Arabidopsis thaliana: one gene and its partner. The protein of the gene in region 1 purifies or fractionates together with the protein of each later gene. This does not show direct contact. Each region holds a gene or a part of one and is shown in the gene's direction. Other genes may lie near its edges.

Region 1 (3,754 bases):
CAACTAAACTGAAATGGACATCTCCAAATGTTAGAATGAGTTCCAACTTCCAACACACTAGTTTTTGTGCTTATGGATCTGTTATCTTCTTATTAAGCCTAATAAACTACCACTATCTAAACTACTATACCCTACCGGACACTGTAACAAAACCTCTCTTAATAGCTCAGGGCAGATAAACATCCGATACCTACACTGTAACAAAATCTGTAGACGATTAAGAGCGCAACATAATACGTTTTATGTCACTTCTTAGAATGATATAGTAAGGCAGAGATCCTCACCTTTTCCCTTCTGGGACATACACAAAAATAACTTCTGGCAACGCTAACAGCTCAACTCAGCTTGTATTTTCTTCTTTTACTACACTTTTAAGTTTACACTCCTTCTGTGGATTTTTTCGTTTCGCTTGAATATGATGCACAAACGCAGCTACTATAACATGGAGCTTTGGGGGAGGCTTGCTTGTTGAAGAGACATTATGACCAGCATCCTTTAAAGCTTTAGCCACATGCTTTTGGGCTTTCTGGAAGTGTATATTACACAGTGCAGGAACAGTCGACGCAAGTGTTGGTTTTCCACAAAGTAATGGTCCTGCTGGGGCTCTGAATGTACAATGGAAACAATGCAGAGTTAGGTGAGAATTGCTTAAATTATCATTATATGCTAATTACAAACCAGCATACAAACTTACCTATATATGAAATCTAGGTTGTAAAAACTCAAATCTGAAACTTGGTTTATGTTTTAATACTACCACAATGGGACTATTCTAACACAAATACATTTTCAAAGGGTGATATAGTTATGCTAATACTCATATCCTGACTATTTTACAAATACACATCAAAACAGACAACTTCAAGCATCTGCGTCAGTTATGTGTATCAACCAGAACAACAAAGCACATAGAGCAATATTTTAACACAAGGCAACTACTGAATCTATAAATGATTACCGACGATCACTATCTCGATGTCCAAAGCTAAGACTTCTCCCAAACCCTATGAAAAACTTTGAAAAAAAGTCAAGTGTCAATCCCAAATCCTTTCTGCAAACTTGAAAAAAAAAGAGAAACAATCTCTTGGCTCACTACATAACACAAAACAGCTTTGCAGTTTCAATTCATCATCACTACAACATCTTCACCAACTATAATATGCAAAGAACACAACTTGAAGCATCAATTACTTTGGTTTATACGAGAATTTTAAAACCAAATAAAGGGAAAGTGAAACAAACCGTTTAATGACGTTTGTGCAACCAGTGTAGAGCTTCTGCTTACTATCCTTGAGAATATGCAATTGACAGTATTTCGTAAGCGCCATAGCTTTAGCTTTGCATCCATACATACAACTCCCACAATTACTATTCGCATACTGATCACTCTTAACACCATCATTGTTAGTAACATTGTCTCCACTACCTTCAACAGCATCACCACCATCTCCGATATCTCCCTCTTGACCAAGCCTCCGTCTCTTATTCGATTGATTATTTTCGTCTTTAAACTGACTAATCCCATACTTCCACCAATAATCCCTGTGTTGTGCCTTGACATCCTCCATTAAAGCCCAATAATTGTCTCTATAACACTTGGCCAGCTGCTTCAGGTTGTGTGATCGGCGTTTGAGAAGCTCCGACCGGGTTATGTGACTGGAGCGTGCGAGGATTTCATCTTCTTGTGACATCGTAATCGGTGAATTCGATGTCGACGGTAAGCCGCTGGTGCTAGGGTTAGGATTTAAGGTAGAGTTTCGAATTAGGGGCTCGGCTGAGGTGGAAGCCACTGCGGTTGTTGATGCAGCGCCGGAGGAATACGGAGGCCGTGGTGGTTTCGAGGAGAAAGGGTTTTGCTGAATGTTCTTGGAAGCTGACGCCATTGCCGTCGTCGGAAAATGACAGAGCTTCAAAATCAGATGTTCTTGTCGGGAATGAAATTATTAATTTTTAAAAAATAATATTAGTACTTAAATTTTAAAATATATTAAAGCCCATAAAATGTCCATTGGGCTGACATATTCAACAAATAGGCCCAAACTCAATTGGATGTGAGACCTAAGTTTCTGAATTAGGTCAATATAAATACTAAAATCATATCTGATAACGAACACGAGCTTACCGATTCTCTTCGTCTCAACATTTAGGGTTTCAGAGATCGGCTGATTTTCACATCCACAAGTATGGCGACTCAAATCAGCAAGAAGAGAAAGGTGAATTGTGATTTCATTTTTTGTTTTCAGTGGACTTCTCTAGCTGTATCGTATTGGAACTGATCTGGTTACTGTGTTTGTAGTTTGTAGCGGATGGTGTATTCTACGCTGAATTGAATGAGGTTCTCACAAGAGAGCTAGCAGAGGATGGTTACTCTGGTGTTGAGGTTAGGGTTACTCCAATGAGGACTGAGATTATCATCAGAGCTACTCGTACTCAGAATGTTCTTGGTATGTTTGTTTGATCATTTCTTCTCTCTTTCGATTTTGAATGTGTTTCGAGATCTGATATCGAAAATGTTGGGTTTTAGGTGAGAAGGGGAGGAGAATTAGGGAATTGACATCTCTTGTCCAGAAGAGATTCAAGTTTCCAGTTGACAGTGTTGAGCTCTATGCTGAGAAGGTTAACAACAGAGGTCTCTGTGCCATTGCTCAGGCTGAGTCTCTACGTTACAAGCTTCTCGGTGGTCTTGCTGTTCGCAGGTACGACATTTCTCTAGTATGTTTTTGTGTATTCTCTCTCAATTGCTGTTGTTATTGTTTAGCTTACTTGGTCCTAATAGTGAAATGTATAGGATACAACTGTAATTATATTTCTCAGTGGGGTTTCTGTAAATGCGCACTCTTTATAGATTTTGTGTAATAGTTATGTTTCTATCTACTGAACACACTGATGATACATAATGTGTCGACAAGGCTATTGCATCTCTTTTTTCACTTGAACTTCTCATCCTTAATATTGCAATGGTATATTTGATATACAGGGCCTGTTATGGTGTTTTGAGATTTGTTATGGAGAGTGGAGCTAAGGGATGTGAGGTCATCGTGAGTGGAAAGCTCCGTGCTGCACGTGCTAAGTCCATGAAGTTCAAGGATGGTTACATGGTTTCATCTGGTCAACCAACTAAGGAATACATCGATGCTGCAGTGAGACATGTTTTGCTCAGACAGGTATGCTTTCTAATGAGTCTCTTATCTACCATTTAGTGAGTAAGTATACCGGCTTTGTCTAATCTTGTTGGTTCAATCCGTATTTGCAGGGGGTGTTGGGAATCAAGGTGAAGATCATGCTTGACTGGGACCCTACGGGCAAATCAGGACCAAAGACACCATTGCCTGATGTTGTGATCATTCATGCTCCTAAAGATGATGTTGTCTACTCTGCACCTGCTCAGGCTGCTGCTCCAGTTACTCTTGTGCAAGAAGCTCCACTCACAACCGTAGATTACCCTGAGATGATTCCTCCAGTGGCCTAGAGAAGACCTTTTTTACTATTACTCCATGGGATTTTGTTCTTTTTGTTATAACTTTTCTACTTTTGACACTCTCTAGTCGTATCTCTTATATCCTCCAAGCAGACAAGTTTTTTCTCATGTTGTTTCTTAACCTATGTCAAGTTTTCTGGAGGTTGAATGCTTTTAGTTCCATGATTTTTTTGTTCTTAAGACTCGTAATAAGAAAAAGAATGACGACAACAATGCCTGGTATTTGATGTTGTTACTTTGAATTATCATTTTGCTCAGAACACTTTATTCGAAAAT
Region 2 (3,754 bases), on another chromosome or scaffold:
GCTTCAATTCTAATTAACCTATGATCACGTAAATGATTTGCAGCATGACTCTTCATTAATGCGATGTAATAATATCAAAATTACCGTTTCACTTTCCCACTATAAAAAGAAGTAACAATAAAAATTCTTCCTAAAGTTTTTGCTTGCCCGGAAAAAAAATGAATTACATCAAACAATTTATCTTGGCAATTTGCTTTTATCTAGTCTTAACATGTCAAGATCATGTTTTAGCCCGCGACACCACCACGAGAGACATCGTAGTCCCGAAGATTTCCGAGTGGCAAGTTACGGTTGCTAACGGTTTGACCACTGGTGAAACTCTTTTCATCCATTGTAAGTCTAAGGAAAACGATCTAGGTGATATTAACCTGAAGTTCTTAGATAGATTTTCTTGGAATTTTGGAGAAAATATGCTTCACTCAACTTTGTTTTGGTGCTATATGAGCAAAGATGATGGTCATATGAATGTAAAAGTGTTTTGGGATGATGTTATTCTATTTCATAGATGTGATTGGAAGAATTGTGTTTGGACCGCAAAGAATGATGGCCTTTATCTTTGGAATTCTGCAATCGGTGAAGATGTACTGTCGGAGAAATGGAAATCTGGATGGTGAAAACATATTTTTGATTTGTTGGTAATTTTTTAACTATTATATGTATCTGTTAATTTTGGCAGGCAAAAAAAACTGAAGTAATACTTTACTTTTGTCATAAATTCTCTCTTATTTTTTTGTATTTTTCATCGAAGATTTTTGTTTTCTTCGATCGTGTCTTGGATTCAATTGTTTTTGGACTGTTCAAGACAATGGTTTGCTGCTTTATAATCCACCTCATCATAGAGGTTTTAGATTGATATATAAAGGGGATTCACCATGATTCAATTCATTGTTGAAGTCGAGAGATCTTTGAAAGTTTATTCGAGTATAATCCATATTAAAGAAAATTCAACCATGTATTTTGATCACGATATACTAATAATTAATTATCAGTATGAGATTTTATGTATTTGTTATTTATGGGGGACTCATGGGTCAATCATTTCTAAGAAAGTATGGATCATGGATTCGTTTTCGTTCAACTTATTTATGACCATATATACAAGTACTAATGGTGACACTAGAATACATTGTATGACAATAGTCTCTTGAAAACAAAGTCAAAGCATTAAATATAGAGATCGGAGTCAACAATTTAGAGTTTATAGAATTAAAAGGAAAGGAGGATAAGAAGAAGAAGAAGAAGAAAAACTTAGCAAATATATGAACAAATATATAAAGACATTGTAACACATTTACCTCTGACATAAGTTTTTTTACATTTGACAAGAAAGATTTTAGAAAAATGGGAAAATCTTTGCTAAGTTTATTTGTTATCCTCCTTTCGTTTGATTCTATAAACTCTTATTTGATGCCTCCTCTCTTCAGAAAATTCAATGTCCAAATAGTAAATCAACTTGAGTTTCACAAGATACTGAAAGTTCATTGCAAGAGCAAATCTCACAATTTCCCAATCACATATCTTAAAATTGGTGAAAGTTTTCAGTTTAAATTTAAAATTTATCCAAAAACTCAGTATTGGTGTAATTTATGGCAGGTGAGAAAACACATTTTTAACTTTTTTATACATTTCTTTACATATTGTCATGTATAAAAATTAAGATGAGTATCAGTGATTGTACTATAAATTTTTGACCAACTTTTTATTTCATCTTTGTTTGTTATAGGGACCAAATTACAAACACCATGTGGTTTTTGATGCGTTTCGTCCAGACAAAGATTTTATAGATGGTACATGTACTGGTATGCATCCTAATGTATGTAGATGGACTGCAAAAGAAGAAGGAGTCTATGTCCGCAACAAAAAGTTCGAAGGAGAATATTTCATGTATACATGGGATGGTCCATCAAAACTTGGAAACATCTCTCCAGTGTCTGCACCTACAAGTGAATCAGAATTGGACTCATCAGTCTAACCCCACATAGATCTAAAAAAAATTATATCATGATGTATAATCTTTGGTATCAATAATTGTATGTTGGTTTCAATTACAAGCCCAACTATTGTTTGGGCCTAATATTTATATATGGGCCTTAGTCAAAGATTAAAAAAAAAACATTTCTTCTTCCCAAAGCCAGAAAATATCAGTACAAGAGTACAAGAGAGAAAGAAAGGAACCTCGAACTCAGAGAAATTGAGAGAAGAGAGAAGAATCATGGGACAAGGACCATCGGGAGGATTGAATCGGCAAGGAGATCGGAAACCTGATGGTGGAGATAAGAAAGAGAAGAAGTTTGAGCCGGCGGCACCACCGGCTCGTGTAGGGAGGAAGCAAAGGAAGCAGAAAGGGCCAGAGGCGGCGGCGAGACTTCCGACGGTGACTCCGTCTACTAAGTGTAAGCTCCGGTTACTGAAATTGGAACGGATCAAGGATTATTTGTTGATGGAGGAAGAGTTTGTGGCGAATCAAGAGAGGTTGAAACCTCAGGAAGAGAAAGCTGAGGAAGATAGATCTAAGGTTGATGATCTTCGTGGTACACCTATGAGTGTTGGGAATTTGGAAGAGTTGATTGATGAGAATCACGCTATTGTTTCTTCTTCTGTTGGACCTGAGTACTACGTTGGGATTTTGTCCTTCGTTGATAAAGATCAGCTTGAACCTGGATGTTCGATTTTGATGCATAATAAGGTATGTGAAATTAGGGTTTAAGAATCTTGTTTTTGTTGTGATTACGATTGTGTGTTGTTGTGGATTTAGGGTTGCTGATTTGTTTTATGTTAGGTTCTCTCTGTTGTTGGGATTCTACAAGATGAAGTGGATCCAATGGTGTCTGTGATGAAAGTTGAGAAAGCTCCTTTGGAGTCATATGCTGATATTGGAGGTTTAGAAGCTCAGATTCAGGAGATTAAGGAAGCTGTTGAGCTTCCTTTGACTCATCCTGAGTTGTATGAAGATATTGGTATTAAACCACCAAAGGGTGTAATTTTGTATGGTGAGCCTGGAACTGGGAAGACATTGCTTGCTAAGGTTTGTCTTTGTACCTAGAATCTAATGAGTATTAGTGTTTGTTTGCAGTATAGCTTAGTTTACTACTTAACTTGTCAATTACATTCAGTTAATCGTTTGTTCGGTCAAAGGCCAGACCTTTGTTGTGCTGCTGGTCACCTAGATTTCATACGTTTGAACATAGCGAGAAATTTGTTCTCATGGATAAGAATCTTTTGAGTCACTTGTTTCTATTAATGTCTTCCTTTCTCGTTTCTCTCTGTCACAAGCATGAGATAGTTGCAATTTGGTGGTGTTATCTAATGGGAATAAGCTCTCTAACTTGATCTTATTTTAGGCGGTTGCGAATTCAACATCAGCTACTTTCTTGAGAGTTGTTGGTAGTGAGCTGATTCAGAAGTATTTGGGAGATGGTCCTAAGCTTGTGAGAGAACTTTTCAGAGTTGCTGATGACCTTTCACCATCAATCGTCTTCATAGATGAGATTGATGCTGTTGGTACCAAGCGGTAAGTTAAACTATTTTCATAAACCTGATCTATAACCCATTGATAATGGTTATCTGATTACTTGTTGTTTGAAAGAACAGGTATGACGCTCACTCAGGAGGTGAACGTGAGATCCAAAGAACTATGTTGGAACTTCTGAACCAGCTTGATGGATTTGATTCAAGAGGAGATGTTAAGGTCATCCTTGCAACAAACAGAATCGAGAGTCTTGACCCAGCACTGCTTCGACCTGGACGGATTGAT

What was found. The genes of interacting proteins can lie anywhere in the genome.
Region 2: the proteins of AT2G31610 (region 1) and RPT2a purify together in Arabidopsis thaliana (affinity purification with mass spectrometry; 2 studies listed by BioGRID, with this or other methods). This does not show direct contact.

The regions. Positions count from the first base shown.
Region 1 is NC_003071.7:13,448,201-13,451,954, forward strand, and holds the start of AT2G31610 (Ribosomal protein S3 family protein), read left to right. Parts: upstream 1-2,040; 5' UTR 2,041-2,183; coding exon 2,184-2,213; intron 2,214-2,296; coding exon 2,297-2,444; intron 2,445-2,524; coding exon 2,525-2,696; intron 2,697-2,977; coding exon 2,978-3,164; intron 3,165-3,253; coding exon 3,254-3,469; 3' UTR 3,470-3,754. Other genes in the region: AT2G31600 (INO80 complex subunit D-like protein), read right to left, coding at 341-605, 1,243-1,883.
Region 2 is NC_003075.7:14,310,157-14,313,910, forward strand, and holds the start of RPT2a (regulatory particle AAA-ATPase 2A), read left to right. Parts: upstream 1-2,126; 5' UTR 2,127-2,212; coding exon 2,213-2,686; intron 2,687-2,779; coding exon 2,780-3,025; intron 3,026-3,341; coding exon 3,342-3,511; intron 3,512-3,591; coding exon 3,592-3,754. Other genes in the region: AT4G29035 (Plant self-incompatibility protein S1 family), read left to right, coding at 159-614; AT4G29037 (plant self-incompatibility protein S1 family protein), read left to right, coding at 1,342-1,593, 1,724-1,972. UniProt on the Arabidopsis thaliana protein: The 26S protease is involved in the ATP-dependent degradation of ubiquitinated proteins. The regulatory (or ATPase) complex confers ATP dependency and substrate specificity to the 26S complex.